4 linked regions of the Oryzias latipes genome follow. The protein of the gene in region 2 purifies or fractionates together with the protein of the main gene of each other region. This does not show direct contact. Links are inferred from orthologs where the notes say so. Each region holds a gene or a part of one and is shown on either strand. Other genes may lie near its edges.

What was found. Proteins that work in one complex are often made in the same cells at the same time.
Region 1: the proteins of foxo3 (region 2) and skp2 purify together in Homo sapiens (affinity purification with western blotting; 3 studies listed by BioGRID). This does not show direct contact. The link is inferred for Oryzias latipes from reciprocal best matches to the Homo sapiens genes FOXO3 and SKP2.
Region 3: the proteins of foxo3 (region 2) and sirt1 purify together in Homo sapiens (affinity purification with western blotting; 4 studies listed by BioGRID and IntAct, with this or other methods). This does not show direct contact. The link is inferred for Oryzias latipes from reciprocal best matches to the Homo sapiens genes FOXO3 and SIRT1.
Region 4: the proteins of foxo3 (region 2) and mothers against decapentaplegic homolog 3 purify together in Homo sapiens (affinity purification with western blotting; 3 studies listed by BioGRID and IntAct, with this or other methods). This does not show direct contact. The link is inferred for Oryzias latipes from reciprocal best matches to the Homo sapiens genes FOXO3 and SMAD3.

The regions. Positions count from the first base shown.
Region 1 is NC_019870.2:24,271,746-24,276,667, reverse strand, and holds the end of skp2 (S-phase kinase-associated protein 2), read left to right. Parts: intron 1-286; coding exon 287-430; intron 431-725; coding exon 726-860; intron 861-993; coding exon 994-1,092; intron 1,093-1,220; coding exon 1,221-1,348; intron 1,349-1,974; coding exon 1,975-2,026; intron 2,027-2,415; coding exon 2,416-2,523; intron 2,524-2,955; coding exon 2,956-3,175; 3' UTR 3,176-3,872; downstream 3,873-4,922. UniProt on the Homo sapiens protein: Substrate recognition component of a SCF (SKP1-CUL1-F-box protein) E3 ubiquitin-protein ligase complex which mediates the ubiquitination and subsequent proteasomal degradation of target proteins involved in cell cycle progression, signal transduction and transcription.
Region 2 is NC_019882.2:7,572,244-7,577,658, reverse strand, and holds the end of foxo3 (forkhead box protein O3), read right to left. Parts: intron 2,947-5,415; coding exon 1,495-2,946; downstream 1-1,494. UniProt on the Homo sapiens protein: Transcriptional activator that recognizes and binds to the DNA sequence 5'-[AG]TAAA[TC]A-3' and regulates different processes, such as apoptosis and autophagy.
Region 3 is NC_019873.2:29,796,538-29,801,164, forward strand, and holds the end of sirt1 (NAD-dependent protein deacetylase sirtuin-1), read left to right. Parts: intron 1-850; coding exon 851-998; intron 999-1,072; coding exon 1,073-1,152; intron 1,153-1,842; coding exon 1,843-2,026; intron 2,027-2,102; coding exon 2,103-2,597; intron 2,598-2,718; coding exon 2,719-3,008; 3' UTR 3,009-3,577; downstream 3,578-4,627. UniProt on the Homo sapiens protein: NAD-dependent protein deacetylase that links transcriptional regulation directly to intracellular energetics and participates in the coordination of several separated cellular functions such as cell cycle, response to DNA damage, metabolism, apoptosis and autophagy.
Region 4 is NC_019861.2:12,628,120-12,633,534, forward strand, and holds part of mothers against decapentaplegic homolog 3, read right to left. Parts: intron 4,673-5,415; coding exon 4,547-4,672; intron 3,756-4,546; coding exon 3,543-3,755; intron 3,405-3,542; coding exon 3,267-3,404; intron 1,260-3,266; coding exon 1,115-1,259; intron 1-1,114. UniProt on the Homo sapiens protein: Receptor-regulated SMAD (R-SMAD) that is an intracellular signal transducer and transcriptional modulator activated by TGF-beta (transforming growth factor) and activin type 1 receptor kinases.

The sequences.
Region 1 (4,922 bases), on a different chromosome or scaffold from region 2:
CCCGCCCACAATTCAGAGGTGAATTTCGAATGAACTCCTGCTGTCCTTTTGTTTTGCCTAAAAGCAGCATAATCCTGATCAAAGACCCCTCAGGATGCTTAGAAAATAGATCGGAGTGGGTTTTTAACTTAAAATAGGTTTTGAGATTCTGATGAACATGAAAGACTTCAGTACTACAGATGTTCAGTCTGCCACACAGTTTTCATTAGCTTCAACCCCAGAAGCGCCTCTTTGTGTGTGATGATTGTTTGCCGGTGTGAGAGCACTCTGCTTGTGTTTTCATCAGGTTTGACGAGTCTCTGTGGCAGAGCGTGGATCTGCAGGGTCTGACCAACATGGGTCCAGCTCTGCAGCAGGTGCTGAGGACCGGAGTCCGCCGCCTGCGCTGCCCGCGCGCCTTCGTCGAGGAGCAGCAGTTTGCAGGAACAGAGTGAGCTTTGCAGATGGTTGGACCTAGGCCTGCACAATAAATGGCAAATTTATTGCTTGCTATTATCATCGCAACATGGATCACTGATACTGCAAATTGCACGTTTTCCTCATATCATGCAGCCCCAGTTGGACCACAACCATCTGGTCCAGTTTTTTTTTTTTTTTTTGCAGACCTGTTTTCCAAGCACTATCCTCACTTTTTAGATGCTCAAGCTGAGCGATTAGACACGAAGACACACCAGTGAGCCACAGACGCCTTCCTTCACTGCAGGACCTTTTCTCTTTTTGTCCAGACCTCTGCAGCTGCTGGACATGGACCTGTCCAGTTCCATCATCCCCATTTCAGCTCTTGAGAGCATCACCTGCCGCTGTCTCCGCCTGGAGCGATTGAGCCTGGAGGGTCTGCAGCTCTCAGACAACATCATCAGGTGAACAAATGGTTGTAGTTTGGTTTATATCCACCATGCTTCAGAGTCGAGCTTCTCTTCAAGGCCTCCGGGTGCTACTTTGCCGTTCACGGTTGGTTTGGTCATCAGACTCATGTCAAACTCTTTGTTGCAGGAGTCTTGGGAACAACGTCGGCCTGCAGCAGCTGAACCTGAGCGGCTGCTCCGGCTTCTCTGCTTCTGTTCTGGCTGACATGCTCAAGTCCTGCTGCAGGTCAGTGAACGCCTCTAAAAAAACGCACAAAACTTAAAAATAAAGTAAACTAATTCATGTATGTGATGAGTTGATTTTGCATGCTATATTAGTGTTGTCATTGTGTCCTCGTGGGTTTTGTTTTGCAGGATAGAGCAGCTAAACATTTCATGGTGCGGCTTCAACAAGGACCACGTGAAAAGTGTTGTTAGTAATGTCAGCCCCAGAGTCGTCAGCCTGAACATCAGCGGGTACAGAGAGAGCCTCACGTTAGACGGTAAGCCGTGGAAACCTGATTCCATAGGAAGGGGACTCCTCCATCAGTTCTACATCAGAAGTGCCTTCGAGGAGAAATTCGACTGACGGTTGATCACACTGGTTTTTACAACAGCAAAGCTGTTTGAGGCTTTGTTTGCTTAACCAACCAATCCAGAGGATGGAAACAGAAATCAGACAACACAAGCTGTTATAGCTTAGTCACAACTGCCCTCACGGGTCTATATGGAGCATGTGGGGGGGCCCGCACATAACGTCAAGGTTGTAGATCACCCAGTGAGCCCATAGCCCATCTTCAAATCCTCCAGTCTGCACATAAAGCCTGTTAGTGCTGTTCAAATGATTAATGCTGTTATAGTTTAGTGTTTTCCTTTTTAATCGGATCTGATTTCCACAAAGTCTGTAATCAGGACCCCTGTTAGTAAAGTTCTTTCTTTATTTTTACATTTAAACTCAAGGTGATAATGCATACAGGGGGAAATGGAAGTGTGACCAAACTCTATGCATTACATTTTTTTAGTTTTATTTTCAATTTTCTTTTCCTGCAATGCCAAGTGTGATAGTTTCTGGGAATAATCATGAAATCTTTTTGCTGTCACTGATGGGAATGGCGTGCGTGTTTTACAGATGTAAAGATCCTGGTTGACAGATGTCCTGAAGTTCAACACCTGGATTTGAGGTACCGTCCCGCTCCAGCCCAGAGAAACAGAAACACCAGATGCGTTCATTCAGAACTGCTCTTCATTAAAGTCCCACTCCGATCATCTATTGTAAAAGGGTTCCCAGTTGTCTTTTAAGTACGCTTATGCTGTTTTTAGCAACAATCAAAAGCCTGTGTGGTTCTCTAGGACACAGAGCAGTTATATAGAAATCCACCTCTGAGTTGTGGATGGATTTGTTGGTGCTTAATTATCTTTATATATCTCCATCATGAGAAAAATCCCACAAAAACATTTTAAAAACACAGTTTTTAATTGGAGTGGGTCTTTAAGTAAAGGGTTCTCCTCAGATGAACTGGATTCCTAAGTTCTGTCTCTATCAGAATTTCACTAAGTCTTTGTGTTTCAGTGACAGCACCCTGCTGATGGCTGACAGCTTCCTGGTTCTCAAACAGCTGAAGGATCTGCAGCACCTGTCCCTGAGTCGCTGCTATCACATTCACCTGGCTGCTCTCACGTAAGTCCTCACCTGGAGCTGCAGGGTGGATCTTCAGCGTCCTCCGTCCTAATGAATCATTGCAATGAGAGAGGATTGGACCACAATGGACCATGCTCATTAAACATGAACCAGGATATTCAGTTGGTCCTTCTTTTCAGTCACCTGTAGGTGGTAAAATTAAGTCTTTTTTAAAATTTGATTGGGATTAAATGTAATCGTCACAGTAAGCCGTAAGGCTGTAGCTTTGTCTCTTTACAGTTCAGTAACCCCTGACTCATCATTCTTTAGATGCATATAGGATCATGTGCTCTGTTCTTTGTTTAAATATAAGCTCTTTGCAGAAAAAGGGTGGAAATGTGTAAATGCTGATTGTTGGCTGAAAAGTGAAAATCTGGTTGGTTTGAACAAATTGAAGTTCTGCAGACTCAACTTTCTGTGTTCTTCCTGCAGGGATCTGGGACAGACGCTGCCCTCTCTGCGCCTGCTGGACGTCTTCGGCCTCGTGCAGGACAACCAGCTGCCGTCTCTGAAGAAGGAGATGCCTCACGTCAGCATCAACTCCATGCCTTTCTCTAGTGTGGCTCGCCCTACGCCCGCCAGCAAACTCCCGGGGTCCCACGGCGACCGCAGCATGTGGAACAGGAAGTGCCGCCTCAGCTTCCAGCTCTGACCGCGGACTCAGTCCTGTTTTGTTTTTTTAAAGGGACAGTTTGAGCTGCAGAGCAGGATCTACATGTCAGTTCTAGACGAGGCTTTAATCTCTCTGGTACCAATGACCCATCAGTCCTCGATGCTATGTTGGCAAACTCAAAGAGAATTGTGTCATTTAGAAAACATTTGAAGGTTTAGCCACGTGTAGTAAGTTTGAAAGCATTTTAAATCTGTTGAATGTTCTAATAATGTTAGAACTTTTAAAAGGACGACACTCGGATCAAGGCATGACCGGAAAATGCTTTTGTTCTTTGCTGCTGTTTGAAAGGAATCGGTGAGCGGTTTTCCTTTTGCTGTCAAATGTCTGGCTTTAGTTGGTGCTGAAAGCAGTGTTATGTCATTGTTGGATGATGGGAGGAGCCTTGTTTGTGGTTCCAATTCCCTAAGGCTGTTATTTTTTTTTTATGCCTCTGTTCTAAGTCAGCATTTAATGATCCTTTTTAATGGATTTTACCTTCAGCGATTGTTGGTTATCTGTTCTCATGTGTTTGCTTTTAGAGTCTGAAGCACAGGAACCGAACAGCCAATGATGCTGCAGGAGGATTTCACAAAGGTTATATTTTTGTAGTAATCAGACTGATATCTCTAATGCTCATTCATGATGACTCAAAGGTTTGGAATGCAAATGAACTACCCATTAAAATCCCTTTTCTTACCCTTTCTTGTCTTTTATGTCACCTAAAGCATTTTTAAAGACGTCCTTTGAATCAAATCGCTGCTTGGTTAAAACTCTTAACTGCACGTTATATCCGAAAAACATTCCTTCTTGATAAGGAAGGTGGTCCTCTGAGGGCACTAGTTTTACAAAATATAGTTTTGTCCTCACTTTTCTTATTTTTGTGCTCTAGGTTCTTTAGTACTCCACATTATTTTTGATTCAAAAGAAGTGGAAAAATTCAATGGAATTGATTTTTGTCTCCTCTTAATTTGAAAATGCTTTGCTTTCCGAGTTGGTCAGGCATCACATCATTTTGTGTCAAAATAAAAAACAAGCTAAAAAATCCTTGTGTATAGCGAAAACTAAAAACCAGCTTAGGGATGAGGGAAGAACCATCCACCCCCCCCCCCCCCCCCCCCCCCCCCCCATTTGGAGCCTCCTGGAGGAGGGAAGGAGGTTGTCACTTAAGATTTTACAGTACATGGCTCCGCCCATCCTCCCATCTACACAATGAAGTAGTCTTTTGCAGAAAAACACCCCAAAGCATAATGCTTCCACCTCCATGCTTGACAGTGGGGATGGTGTTCTTGGGGTCATCAGCAGCATTTCTCTTCCTCCAAACACGACAGGCGTGCACATGTACCTTCTTAAGCAGGGCAACTGTGCCAGCTCTGAAAGATGTTATTCCAAAGGGTTTTCTGTGTGACTGTGGTTCCAGTTGCTTTGAGATCATCAACTAACTCCTGCCTTGTTGTTTTAGGCCGATTACTGGTCATGTTGCACCAACAGTTGTCCCCTTAACCCTCCAGCTTCCTACTGATGGTTTTGTAGTTTATTCCGGTCTTTTGCAGGTCTACAATCTTCTCCTTTAAATCCACCAAAAGCTCTTTAGTCTTTCCATGTTGGACAGTTTGGATTCTGACTGACTGATGGAGCATCAAAGAAATTAAAACCGGATAACTGCTGGTGTTGACGGACTGATTCTGTGGACAGGTGTCTTTTTTACAGGTAATAAGTTTAGATGTCTGCATCCAAGTGGCAGGTTGGT
Region 2 (5,415 bases):
CTCCCCCCCTGAGTGATTCTGTATATGCTTAACAAGCCTCACGACAAGAAGAGCCAAACACAGAGCCCTGCTGTCTGCGTTTGTGTAAAATGTCTGCGTGTGCATGTGTGATTTGGCTGCCAGCATATCCTACTGTTGGTTTCAAGTAATTTGGCAATATACAGAAATAGCTTATTGTTTTACAAGAGAAACAAATGGCTTCTAGAGGAATGAGCCGAAAAGAAGCGCTCCTGCTCTTGTCCCTCCGTCGTCTTACGACTTTTCCCGCGCTACATGTGGCTCCAACTCTTGGCCTCTGCAGGTCAAAACAAGCAACGTGCACGGCTTTTACTCAGGACTGGATTAAACACTGTTTATATAGCACCTGTTTGGCGTAAAAATGCTCACAACCCCAGAACACAGGTATTGATTTTGGCTACATGGTAAGATAAAATGACCCCAACATAACTCAAGCAAAAAAAAAGATAACATCTATTATTCTCCTTCTTTTTGTACACTTTAATGTACAGATCATGTGTCGCAATATTCGGTTATTTGTAATAAAGCCTCTGTATGCTGCTGGTAATTTAAATTCAAGCAATATACAAAGAGAAAACAGTAAGTGCATGGCATAAAATGAGGAATTTTAACTTCTTTGAGGTTTGCAAAGTGTCAGTATTGTCTGCTTTTGTTTATGCAAGATTTGTACGCCGAGTAAAACCCTCCTGTCCCGTCTCTTCATTTCACCAAAACGCAATATTTTTGTACAGACAGGTATGATCCAGAAACACATTATAACAGAAAACCCAAAAAAGCAAACACTGAACATATAAAATCACAAACAACAGAAGGATTTTTTTGTCGTTTTCATCATTAACACACTCCAGGTGGATTAGATGTACACAATATCACTTCTTGACTTTTGTCGCCTTTTCACCTTCAGCTGAAAAAAACAGTTTCTGTCTCTGCTCCTTGAAGTCCATGTTTGACCACTTCTACTGCAGATTTTATTTTACATCAATGCCAAAGGAAAGTTGCATGTTCTTGTGGATTTTTTGTGATTGTTTCATGTAGCTTTGTGATGTTGTTTCAAAAGAGGTTTTGAGGGATCGTGCAGCATCTCTAGAGTCTGTCGGATCGTTTATGACTGACCAGTACGGGAGCGAAGGTAAAGCTCGTGAGAGGAAGTCTTCTTCTGTAAACACAGGGTTTGTATTTTACATTGTGCTGATGGCAGGTTTGGCAAAAGGATGCTGTGTGTCTGATCTTCTCACGGAACAAACAGGTGAAACCTGGAGAAATACGTAAAAAAATAAGTCTTAATAATCACACCATGTTCGGAAACACAATTATTTTTCTGAGCTGGAAACAACTACTTTGATAAACTTTTCAATGCAGAAACTTTACATCTGTGATGCCAAAAAGTGTGACTAAATGTAAATATTATAAATATGCCCTCAGACAACAACATGGCTACAAAATCACTTACATCATACCAAATCTGCTGCTCCATTCTCAGCCAGGTACCCAGCTCTGAGAGCTCTGCTTGGTGCTCGTGAAGTTGCTTACTCCGTTCATGTTTACCAGAGAGTCAAAGTTAAAATCCAGGCCATCTGCATCCATCAGGTCGTTTCTGATGATGGAGTCCATGTCACACTCCAGGCTGCCGTTGAATATGTCCAGGTCCAGATCGGTGGGGAAGCGATCCTGAGAAACTCCTCCGCTGCTGCTGACGGTGCCGTTAAGAAAGATGGAGGGGTCGATCTGCATGGTGGACGAACCATTTCCTCCTAATGGTGAGAGCAGGAGCTGCTGTTTAGCATTAGCCAGAGTATTAGCCTCGTTGACGAGGTTCAGACCTCCATTTCTTGACCTCATGGAGCTCTGGTTTTGGTTGTTAGTTTGTAGCACGTCCCTCTGGCTGGCTTGAATACCTCCACTGGTCCCAAAGGTCATCACAGGATCGTTACGGAGGATCAGACCACGGCGGGAGTTTTGGGAATTGACAGCAGCTGAGCTGGCTTGCGACATCAAAGGGTCAGACTGGGTCATCATCACATCACTATGGTTGTGACTACCAGAGTTAAGCAGGTCTTGTAGTGTTTGGCTGCCAAAACCAGACATGCTGATGCTGGAGAAAGATGTTTGCTTGTTCTCCTGGATGGTTTGCATTGGGGAGGAGCGCAGAGAGGAACCTATTGCTTGGGAGCCAAAGATGGAGTTACTGTAACCATTACTTCCACCATTAGATGAAGAGTTGGACGATGGAGAGGATGTGGAGGAAGTTAAGCTTATTCCATTGGATTTGGACCCAAAAGTGAAGCCTGAAGAGCCATTTTGGAGGTTCTGGCTGGAGGAAGGTGGTACCAACTTGATGTTGTCAAGCAAATCGTCCATCAGTTCATCTGTGATTCCATCATTCAAGTTCATCGTACCTGTCAGGTCCGCTAGGCGGGGCAGCTCAGCAGGGGCTGCTTTCCCGTTGGATATGGCATTTCCAGGAGACAGCGCCCTGCCAGGACTGGAGTAGATCATGGGGGAGAGAGGAGCCTCATCATCGGGTACTTCGTCAAGTTCAGGGTTGGCCATAATGGGTGAGAGGTGGCCACTAACAGTGCTGGCATTGGAGTTGGTGCGAGAGCGGAAATCTGTCCATCCACCATCAAGCTCCTCTGTGCTGTGGGATGTTGGACTCCCAGGCCACCTGGAAAGACCTGAAGGACTGTCTCCACCACCTTCACCTGCTGCGGCAGCAGCAGCCTGCAGTGCAGCCTTTTTCTTAGCAGCACGACCACGGGCGGACTTGGTGTACTTGTTGCTGTTGTCCATGGAAACAGCCCGACGTCTTGGAGCCTTGCCGCCTTTTCCTCCTTCCGGATTGATCATCCACCAGGAACTCTTTCCTGTCCCTTCGTTTTGGACGCGAATGAACCGACTGTGGAGGGAGAGGTTGTGCCGGATGGAGTTCTAAGAAACAAAAACAGAAAAAGAGACTTTTTAAATAATGGCTGCTAAAACTCTGGGTCCAAAAAACATCAGTTGATTCTACTTAATATTACTAGAATCAACAAACATATTTTAAGGACAAAGAAATTTGATAAAACATCACTTCTTTTGTAGCAATGTAAACACTTTCCATTCATTACTGATTTAAATGAAGCAAAAAGCATTTTCCTCTAATTGTATTTAGCACTGATGTCTGCATTAACTCCTCTTAAGCTTTTGTTCTATGGATATGCAGAGGAAAAAGAGACAGTGGGCTGTAGTCACACACTTTTTCTGTGTCAAATGACACAAACAGAGTCATTGAAAGCTAGATTGTGCCCTTTTGTGTTTGTATTTCGTCTAGTTTGTGTTTATCAACTCCATGCTGATCTTTTATGAGAATCTAAGAGGTTTGTTGTGTAACTGCAACAAAAGTTATATTCACAATGCAGATGTACGCACACATAAAAAAATACACAGTTGGATCACTTGTTGTACAACTGCAGATGTTGTTTACGCAAAGATATCAGATGGGTTTTTGTTCATCCTTGATATTCATTGTGTTGCACATTTGGATGGATAACAGTTTTTTTTTTTCCTATTTTTTTTTTTACTGTTTTTAACTTTTACTTTTTACTGTTACTTTTACAGGTTTCCAAACTTGTTTCTTCAAGTCCTGTCCTGATAAAAGTGATAAAACTTGATCAAATAAAGGAATTCGGTTCTTGAAATGAATCTCTTCCCTGAATACGGCATTCTGACCCGACTCTAGCTTTGATTTAAGTCTTTATCTCCGTCTCCCAAAAGTGTCCATGAGGCCTGGACAGTTCTTTAATTTTTTTCTTTCCGTATTTTCTCTCCCCCTCTATCTTCCACAGTTTCTGTTGTTTCACAAACACATAGCTCTTCTGGCCCTGGTGTGACTCTGGGGCCACGCTTTACCCCCTCATATAAACAACCACCATCCACAATATGTGAGCATTTTTCTGTCTGTTTTCCCTGTCGTGAATATTTTTACTCGCTAAAAGGCAGCAGATTTCTGGGTTCGAGTACCAGGTTGCTATTTTGTTTTGCGTGAAAGAGTGCCATCACTTGTGTCCAACAGTTTGCAGACGAACGGTCAGCTATGTTATTCTGGTGAGTTTAATCACAGGGCTTAAGTTACATGTACTTATACACATCGCTGGCATTAAGTTACATTTTTAGCAGTCATAGCAGGCTGAGAAACATGTCTTTAGCACTAGTGATGCAATATAAAAGTTATTTCTGATGTATTATGCATTAAAAAAAATCCATAAATTGTGCACAGAATGAAAAGTTGCGACTTCTGCCCCATAAAGTAACATAAGACAAAACACCGGAAAGACCAGTGTTTATCCTTTGCATGCATCTCTTGAGGCATGACGCAATGCGGATTTATTATCAAACTTGTTAAAGACACCCAAATGCAGACTTGGTCAAAATGCTTCCAGCTGCCAGGAAAAGGCGAATGACGGCAGAAAATAGATCTGGTTAGGGAATAAAATCATGGTGGGAAGAATGAGAGGAGTGTAAGTGGAATGTGAGTTTCCTTTCTCTCACCATCACCTGCCAGACCCTCGAGCATTCACAAATCCATTTATTCCTCCAGTCAGCCCTCATCTCTCCCAGCAAAGCCACTTGTTTAATGTTTCCCTTTTCCATGCCACTCCTCGCATCCTTCAAATGTCAAGTGAGACATTTCATAACCGATTGCGAAGGAGCAGCAATGAAAAGGAAACAGGACATCTGCACCCAGAGCCTCGACAGTGATGGAGCGAGAGGGAAAAATTGAGTGCCAAATGAAAGCGAGAGTGACGGATGGTGAGAAGACGATGAGAGGAGGGAAGAAAAAAGAACATTTCAGAAGGCCATGTGATGGACAGTATGTCTCCAGCACCACTTGTATCAGATCCTCCCACATAGTCCTTCTTGAAAACTTCATTTCAAGTCAAAAATGAATTCATGAGTATATAGTTTAAGCACATATTTACAGAATATGTATATTTTTGTGTGTACATGGCACTTCATGACATCACCTGATAGTGTTTGCTCACTACTGTAGCTCCTCTTGGGCATTCTCAAAAGCCCATTAATAAAAACAGCAACTGAGGCAACAGCGCTGATTCATAACACGTAGCCAAGAGAGTTAAACACCAAAACACACACAAACACAAGAAGCACACACACTGTACAGCCAGTCAGAAAAAAGGATGACTCATTGAGAATTTCTTAAACCTTCCTTTTTCCCTCTTGGTTTGATGAGAGGATGAACTTCAAACGTCAACAAGCCAAAGTGTGTCTCCTTAATAATGAAAGAGTGTGTCCGTTTAAACTCAACAAAGACTGACAATAGGGACACCTGTCGCCTGGCAACTGAGCTGCGATAACACTGCAGACTGAGAACATGAGAACATGCTCCTTTAGTGACAT
Region 3 (4,627 bases), on a different chromosome or scaffold from region 2:
AAAACCTTCTTTTATTACCGTTCTCCTTCCTCAGTAACACACAACATGAATGCGCGCCCACACTGCCCCCCCCCCCCCCCTATTCTCTATCGTGGCACGCGCTTGCACACACACACACACGCGGGGGCGCGGCCCCAACACATACACATTCCTCTTCCACTACAGTGGGTCCAGACGATCCCGACTCCAATGCCTTCTTAAAATGAGAAGATTGTAATTGTGCTGCTCCTTCGTGAAAATAAATTTAATATTACAAAAAGAGCTCCGCTTTTGACAACACTGTTGTTGACATCCATTGTTAACGTTTGCTCCGCAAACAAGTGACGTCGTTCACCGTTGAGTATTCTTCTGGCTTCTGCGCATGCGGGTCTCGTTTGGGTCGTGTCACGGTCACACTGGAGATCACAAAAGTTCGGATTTACTTGGAAATGTGAACGGTCTAGCAAACAAATCAGATTTTTTCAAAAAATCCGAATTGAGCATTAAGCCCTGCAGTGTGAACGTAGCCAATACCATCCAGTTTCAGGTCTGACTCCTCCCCCGTGAGCACTCATAAACCAACCTGCAGCCTTTCATCTTCGGAGCCGGCCTGGAGAAGGGGTTCGCTCTCGTGAGGGGGCGTGTCTTCTTCACACCCACATGTGTTTGTTCAGCTGCAGCGTATTTCAAAATAAAGCCAGTGTCTCTGCACTTTTCAGAGAACCTTGTGTTCTTTTAGGATTTCTGCTGAACAGTTTTCGTTTCCTTTTTGATGTCAGATCATCAGCTTTGGATCATTGGTCTGGTTTAGAACCGAACCCGCTGTGAGGATCCGTTGCAAACGTTTTCTGTTTTTGTTGACGTGTTCCAGGAGATCTTCCCCGGGCAGTTCCAGCCGTCTCCCTGCCACAGATTTATCGCTATGCTGGACAAGCAGGAGAAGCTGCTGCGCAATTACACACAAAACATCGACACGCTGGAACAAGTGGCTGGAGTGCAGAAAATCATCCAGTGTCACGGTGAGCCGCCGGCCGCCTCGTCTTCTGGACATTTGTGTTCTGGAGACGATCCACGAATCCCGTCTTTCTTTCAGGATCGTTTGCGACGGCTTCCTGTCTCGTTTGTAAACACAAAGTGGATTGTGAGGCTATAAGGGAGGACATTTTTAATCAGGTATGTCTCAAACATCATTTAACTTCCTGTATGAATACTTGGTGGAGATCGCTCCGATCAGCTTCTGATCTATTGTGAATCGTTCCCAGTGGTCCTTTCATTTAGATTCTTTGCCAAAATCAAAAAACCTGTCATTTTCCAGGACATAGTTTCTGCAGAGTGGCTGCAGTTCATCAGAAGTCTTCTTTCACGTCCCTACCGTTCTCATGCTGTCCTCTCCTACGTCCTCTTTACTGAACAACAACGCCGTAGGCGCACCGCACCACAGTGGAGAAAATGTACGACTTTGTTGTGGAAATTCAGTTCTTAGAAATGCAGATTGATCTTAATTTTCTTTATAAATGTCCTCCATCATGAGAAAACTCCACAAGAAGATGTTAGAAACACCCAAACCACCGTTTTTACTGGAGTGTGTCTTTAAAATAAGAAGCAGGGGTTTGAAACGACCAACGGCTCCATGAGATTCTTTGGGGCCATGAAAAGACTTGCTGGAGACCCGGTTCTGCAGACGTTCTCCATGTTCTGTTGGGTTTCTGAGACGGGCAGCTTCCCTGTTCTGTGACCTTCCTCCTAACTCTGTTTGGTCCGGTCTGTCGTGTGTAAATGAACCGCAGTCTGAAGCGGATCTATGGACTCCGGTTCTGTCAGACACGGTCCTTTGAACAGAACTAACGTGCCGACCCCTTCCAGGTTGTTCCTCGGTGTCCGCGCTGTTCGGACATTCCTCTGGCCATCATGAAACCGGACATTGTGTTTTTTGGAGAGAACCTCCCAGAGATGTTCCACAGAGCTATGAAGCAGGACAAAGATGAGGTGGACCTCCTGATCGTCATCGGATCTTCCCTGAAAGTCCGACCCGTGGCCCTCATCCCAAGTACGTCTGGACCGGACTAACAGGTGACACCCCTCCTGGGGGTTTGGCGTGACCCCTTCTGTCTTGTCTGCTGCAGATTCCATTCCTCATGAAGTGCCTCAGGTTCTGATCAACCGGGAGCCGCTGCCTCACCTGAACTTCGACGTAGAGTTGCTCGGGGACTGTGACGGCATCGTCAACGAGCTTTGTCATCGATTGGGTGGAGACTTTGAGCCGCTTTGCTTTAACTCTTTAAGACTGGCTGAGATCACAGAGAAGCCCCCCCGGTTACCCGAAAGGCCTCCAAACGAAACCTCCAGCGATGCCGAGCCGAACGCCCGTCCTACCGACACCGCAGACCAACCTTCAGAGGAGGCGGAGAGCCCGCAGGACACGGACGCCGCTCAGAGAAACGCCACGCCCCCGGAGCCACGCCCTGAAAAGGAGGCGGCAGAGTCTCCAGAACGACCGGTGGAGGACACGCCCACGGAGGAGGCAGACGCGTTCAAGAGCCAAGTCTCAACGCTGGAAGTACGGAAACGATGTTGGATGAGTCGGATCAACAGAAGTCCGATCAGCAAACGGCTGGAAGGTGAGCCCGACGCCTCCACGAGAAAAACGCTCCCCAGTTGGACGCCATCTTTACTGAAGCAAACGTCCTTTCTCTCTACGTCACGTTGTCGTCCTAACGGACCCTCTGCTGTTCTCCACAGCGGGCCAGTACCTCTTTCAAGCACCGAACCGGTACATTTTCCACGGAGCCGAGGTCTACTCCGACTCTGACGACGAGACGTCCAGCTCCTGTGGGAGCGACAGCGAGGACTCGGAGGGCAGCGTGGATGGCGTGGAGGACGACAGCGATGCAGAGGAGGACGGAGCAGAAGCGGCGGCAGAGGAAGAGGAGTGCCTCAGAGACACATTACCACACAGTCCAGCCAATGAGACGGCAGACGTGCAGATAAACAGAAGCTCTGAACAGACTGAAGGCTTCGCACAGATTTAGGTGGAAACAGTTCTGGTTTAACAAAGCACTAATCGTCTTTATATGTTTCATATATAGTTATTTTTCATAAATGGAGACGCGGAGCCGTTTTTCCCTCATGTTTGCATGGACACATCCCTTTTTCTCCATCGGCATTTCCATCTGCAGCTCATCGATCGGCGGCGCCTTCGCTTTGGGCGGAGCCACCATCATGCCTGGTGTATACGTGGAAGATCAGGGCCGTCCTGAAAGACGAAGAGACTCCACAGAAATGCTTCATTTCAGACCAAAGAGCTTCTGTTTTCCTCAGCTTTACATGTTTGTTCTGTCGTTTAAGTCTGGGTGAAACCATGTACATACTTCTGAGATGTTGTTTCCTGACATGTGGCAGCTACTTTTACAGTCAAGCCTCTTATTTTTATACTCCAGTGTGAGACGCGCTCCTCAAAGGGTAGATGATCATTTCAATCTGGGAACTCCAACCAGAGAATCGTCACTTTGGAGGTGTTCAGTTTGGATAGAAATCCTTTTTTTTTAAGTCCCGTTTTCTTGCTCTGTCACTTTTCATAAAGGACTCGGATGCCTGTGAACGCGTCATGTGTGGATTTATTGAAGCGTGTTTTTTTCCACAGCAGTCTCTGTCTCTGGGAACGGCTCTAGAGAGCAGACTGACGGTTACTGGAGAAGAAATGACTGTTTTGGTTGAAATCTTCCTGCTTTAGCTGCTGCTGAGGAGCTTCATCAACCACTAGAGCCTCCCTGGGGAGTTTGACGAGACCCTTCAGTGTTTAGTGTCCAGTGTTCAGGTGGGTGACCATGAGACGGCTTTTTGAGTGCTGGATTTGGTGAGGAACCGTTCTTTGGACTGAAGACCGAGAAGCTTTTTCCAGGTTTTGCTGGAAATGGTTTTCCTCCATAAAGCAAATCATTTTTGCCTTTAAATCTTTATTTCCACTGATCTGGACCTTCAAGACGCTCTGCAGTCGCAGTTCCTGCTCTAGTTTTGGGATTTCCAGGCATTTGTGTCCTGAACACCTCTCTTACCTTCTGATGTGCTCCTCTCTGGGGGGTATTCCAGAGAGCAGGTTATGCTAGCTCCCGGGGTAAGTTTGAGGCTAAGGAAGTGTACAACCACCGCTTTTGGTTCCAAAAACAGTGATGTTTCAGGGTAGGTCAAGTTGCCATGGCAACTCATGCTCTGAACATAACCTGGTCTGGAACAGGTTTAGTTGAAAGTTAGTTTGTTTTCAGAGAGGTGAAGCAGCATGGCGTGTCCATTTGAAGATGATTTAGTGGATGAAGAAACTCAGATAATACTTTTTCCACCATGAGAGGGTGATAAGACCACGTATGGATGTTGGAAAAATAAACTTTTTACTTTGATCTAACTTAATTATTTGCTTCAGTTAAGATAAATCAATTATTTTTAGTTAATTCAGCTTAAAAATAACACGTAGTTTTCAGTTATTTTACTTTCATTTAAAGTAATTCAATCAAGTAGGTGTAACTTTGGTGCTGCTGTTAGATTGGCACCGCAAGGGATTCTGGGATATCATTCCCTTTGCCTGTCTGGACGGATTTGGGTCTAAGTGTGGGTTTTTGACCAAATGTGTTTAGTTGTTTAGCTGTTTTACTGTTTT
Region 4 (5,415 bases), on a different chromosome or scaffold from region 2:
TACAATAGATCAAAGAGGATTGGAGTGGGACTTTAAATGAGGCCGTACTTTGACCAATAAGGCAGAAAGACAAAAAATACGATTTGAAGCTTGATCTTGAAGCGTCTTTTGTCAAATGTGCTACATTCAAAGTGGACTGATCTTCATGTCTTTTACATTTTTTGCTGTATAGCTGTTTATATTTGATATGCTTCTTTTTCTAAACTTTCTCCTTCTTGAATCTTTACGATTCTTTTGTTCTCTCTGACCTCAGAATGGACAGGACAGACTGGAGCTGATAACGAGAACAGTGGGATTGAACTTTGATGATTCAGGGTTTGGATCCAGATGTTTCACATTTTTAAGGCAGAAATAAAAAAAATTTGAACAAAGGGATTAAACTGCTGGCTCTGTGTTAAAAGTCTCATCAAGCTAAAGGATGCAGAAGTTTTGGAATCAACTGGACAGCAGCTCACCGGATACAACACAAATGCTTCCCAATGTCGGCTCCTTTAAAGTATTCATTCATGTGAAGCAGTTTTTAAACTGAATGACAAAAACGTGGAGGGACAAAGGAGTTAAAGCAGATCTGTAGTGAAAACAGAGAAAGGTAGGTGGAGGTGGAGTGGAAAGAGGCCTGTCTGATCACGTAACCTGAATCCTGTTTTTTAAGTGTCTCCACATGTCAGCGTCTGGTCTGGACAGGAATGAAGAGCAGCCGCTTGCAGCACAAAACTCTCCCTTGTGGAAATCTCTCACAGGCCCAACTTTCGGGCCGATCCTTCGCTTCTCTTTAATTACATTTCCTCCTCTCGTACTATCAGTGAGTCAGACGGTGCGAAGAGTCAGACTGTGTGGAAAACAGAGCGCCAGAAGAGGGAAAGTCTGACATCTTTTTGACACAAAGCATGTGTGTTTAAAAATAGTCTGTTTCGACAAGCGCGGCTTGTCTACTGAGGAGACTTCCCTGACGTCAGCCGCTGGATTCACCAGAGTGTGAGAAGGTGCCCGTGAGCGAGGGCGGCAGTATCTTGTCTGTGTTTACTCAACTGTTCTCTCAAGGGCCTCGTCTTTGCTCATCAGCACCGTTTAATGCTGAAATTGCAAAAAGGTGAACGGCTGTCCTGCATCCCACCTGTATTCGGCTCCCCAGCCCTTGACGAAGCTCATGCGGATCGTGCACATCCTGGTAAGCTGATACACAGCCTCAAAGCCCTGGTTGACGGACTGAGCCAGGAGGGCGGCAAACTCCTGGTTGTTGAAGATCTTCAGGTTACATCCTGGAGGAAACACAAGGAGCATTTCTATCATAAACAAAACTCCCTCTCACTTCTGAAGCTTTTGATCATATGACAGTAGATAGAATTGTGGTTTCTAAACTTAAAAAACCCAAAAACAAATCAACCAATAAAACAAACAGACCACTGTGCAAAGGGAAAAAGATGTGTATTTTCCCCCCACAGTGGATGTTAACAAGAGAAACCGGCCTCAGTGTAGTGGTGCGGTAAGTGATGTGGGCTCCTCCAGGCACAGTTGTGATGACACAACTAGAGCACATATGTTCCAAATCATCCAGATTACACAATCAACTTTACCGTAATTATTCAAAATTTAGAAAAACTCCCAGCATTCCAAGTTTCATCGTAAATGTATAAAAAAAAAAACTTTCAGGATGACTGTTTTAGGAGGCAGGTATGTGAGTTTTTTCATAACTTTCACTCCTCTTATTATTGTGTTGAATATTTATCTCAATTCAGGCACAAACAGAACCGACAAACTGTATTTTTCGGAGTAAAAGTTGTTTTGTTTTTTCCCCAAACTTTTGACAGGAGTGCGACTTGTATGTGATTTTGTTTAAACGTAAATGAGGCTAAACACTGGATGGTGGCTCCTCCCACACATGACCAGAGCATCTAGTTTATGAACACATTTTTGGACAAGCATTGAGGTAATGAATTTGAGGCAGCAGACGCAAATTTGAGGCGTGAATCGCGTTTGGTGTGAACGCAGCATTACACTGGGCTTAGCGGATTTGTTCAGAAGTGTCGCATCTTTCTTCTAAAAGTCCGACTTATACTCCAGTGCGACCTGTATATAATTTTTTTCTTTATAATGCATTTGTTCGCTGCTGCAACTTATACTCTGGAGCGCCTTATTGTCCAAAAAAATATAGTAATCATTCAGGCACAGACCTAACCACCATAAATGCTACAACAAGGACCAATCTTTGCTGCTACTGTTCTGAATGAGACAACATTCCTTCTTTGGTGTTGACCGAGTTATACAGTCTATTCTAATCATAAACAGTCTTATGTATTAAAGAACACGGTCTGGTCAGTGATTCGTGCTCACATTACGTCACCCTAAGCCACAGAGATGTATCGAACAAGCCAAAGCATTAATCATCACTCTTAGTCATAGTTCTCCTTCCATCTAAAAGTGTTTTCTTTTTTGCCTCCAGTCACCAACACGTTTTCAAACATATTATTACTACTCCAGCAAGATGTAAGCGCGAGGGAGGCGCCCACATTTCTGTACTGTTATTTTATACTGAATTATGCATATTTTGCTGAACTTTTTGGGGGGTTACAGTGACCATTTATTACGTCCATCTGTTTATCATTATTTGCTTAACGAGTCACTCCAATGAAAATCGTGTCCTTGGTGTTTTTAACAAAACCTTGTCACATTTTTCTCTTAATGGATGACCTGTATAAAAGAATTTAAGATTGAAACTGAGTTGCTGAATATATTCTTATTTAAAATCGAGTTGGATCAGGAGCAGATGAAAACCGGATCGGAATCTTATTTTCTCCACTCCAATTCTAAATCATCCACTTGTAGACAAATAGATGCAAGTACATTTTCATTTCCTCGTCTGAGCTGCCATCTGCCTCAAAACTGTATGGCTCCATAGCTCCAATATTACTCACCTTTTTTTATTTGCTACACTAATGTTAGCTTGTCACTAACGGAAGAGAGTGTAAACAACGGCATGCTGGGAAATTAGTCCTGCCCACAACCCAAAAGCAAATTTCAAATGAGCTACTCCTGCTCTGCAAGAAATGTCTTAAAAGAGACACAGGCTTTTTGATTTGAGATAAAAAACTTCCTAATCATAATTAAAAGACCACTGAGAAGGATGTTACAATTGAAAACAATATAGTTGGAGTGGAACTTTAAAGGAAGTGTATGACTGCGGATGAGAGAGGTACAAACTTCTTTAAACTTTCCTAACGCTTCCTTATGCTCCCTTTCCCCTTAGTTTCTGCCTTCAAGTCACAAACCTGGAGGGATCTTGCAGACTGTGGCGGGGTGCCAACCATAACGCTGATTACAGTTGGGGCTCTGAACAAATATAGCGCTATCACTGAGACACTCCGCAAACACTTCTCCTCCGATGTAGTACAGCCGCACGCCCCGGCCTTGGAGACAAACAGGGAAACAACAGAAGTGTGAGAGGAAAGCCACGCCACGATGACATCAGCAGCAGCACAGACGTGAGAGTTTGATCAAATTTGAGAAAATAAATAAAAACCTCTGGTCTGGGTATGGGGCCTTACCAATGTGTCTGCGCGTTAACTCCACCGCCGCGTTGCGGTTGACGTTGGACAGTAAACCAAGGCAAAAGCGCTCAGAGTTGGAGGGGTCTGTGAATCCGTCCACTGTCAGGGAGGGCTGTGAGGCGTGGAAGGTTTCTCCAACTCGTTGGTTTAGTTCGTAGTAAGAAATAGAGCACCAAAAAGCCGGCTCACAGTATGTCACTGGCTGAAGGTCTTAGTGGGAGAGACATACGTACAGTTGGTTTACATCAAAGCAGAACAGAAGAAAGGCTAAAGAAAACTGACTACTGTAGGGATTAACATTCAAAATGTAAAAGACATCTGAATGACAGGCAAATTATATGTTAATAATAAACCACGTGTGCATCACACACACATGTGAATGAAGGAAGGAAAACTGAAAAGAAATTACTACAAAGAAGAGGTAAAACTAGCAAAATACGGAGAAAAAAGAACCGAAAATAGAGGATGTGTCACAAAATGTTACACCCATGTTTACCCGAAACCTTCAGCAGACAAAAGGAGGGAAGTCAGTCACTGATGGGATGCCAGAAAACCAAATAGCTGAATGAAACGCTAATCTGTGGCTGTTTTCACTAAGTTCAACTGGTTCTGGTCATTTTCTCCGCAGCATGGAACAATCTTTAATGACTTCTCCATCTTGCCTTTGAAGTCCAGAGGAGAACTCGTGTTTTTGAAACCGGAGACTTTTTGTTACTTCGTCAGAAAAGTCTCTTTGGAATTTTCCCATTTTAACAGAATAAGCGCAGGATCTTGTTATTAGTGTTAGTGTGGGTTAAGTGGTGTCTTGGCCTGTTTAACAGCTCAGATGGTGAGCGGGAAGACAAAGGTTTCATTCATTACCTAGTTTCCTCTAACAAAAACGATGCTAAACCAAACAAGAGAATTCCCACTGGGGAGGAACACTCCTGAAAGATTTTCCACGTAAGTAAAGACAGACAGGTGGAAAAGGAAAACACACGTCAACACATTCACACAGTTACCTAAATTACTGTGTGTGGGTGAAACAGGGTTAGGGGACAGATTTGGGGAGCTTGTGTCCATGCTGTGGGTCATCTGGTGATCACTGGTCTCCCCATCCTCGCTGAGGTAACCTGGTGGTGGCGTTTCTGAAACAGACCAAAAACCGCTAGAACACAAACAAGGATAAAGTGCCCACATCTTTTTAGACACATCTTCATCTCAGAGACCTGATTGAGGTTTATTTTGTACCTGGATGACAACTGAAAAAGTAACACAAATTTTAATATTGGGCTCCTGCATTAACCAGGTTAGCAAGTGTCAGAAAACGAGAACGAGGGCTTCTAAGTGGTACATGCAAGTCATGTTGGATAAAAACAGGTGACACACTGAAAGCCTGAAACCAAAATCATTTCCTGTCTGTGTCAGCAAAAACTCACTTCCCTGATTTGATTTTTTTAAACACAAAAACATTGTTTAATTTGTAAAAGAAAAATCATAGAAATCAGTCCTAAAAATCAATCCAGGCCAGTAATCAATTACTGAATTACAGAGTTCATTTTGATGAAAATTACTTAGAAGTTTGAACAACTAAACAAGAAGAGAGGAACCAAAATACACATCATGCACTTCTCTCTTTTTTAAATTGTTGCACAAAATTTTCTGGGTTCATGCAGTTCAGCTGCAGCTGGTCAGCAGTTGTTGGAGTTGTTTTTTTTTCCAACACCAACAGTCACTGCTCTCAACAGCCAATTGTCCTCATTGCAACTTTTAACTAAATCTAGCTGAGAGTCAGATAAATAACAAAGGAAACAAATTGAGAGACATTTAAGTGATAATCATTGAAAACCAATGTAAAATATATTAATATATCTGAGGATATCACTCATTC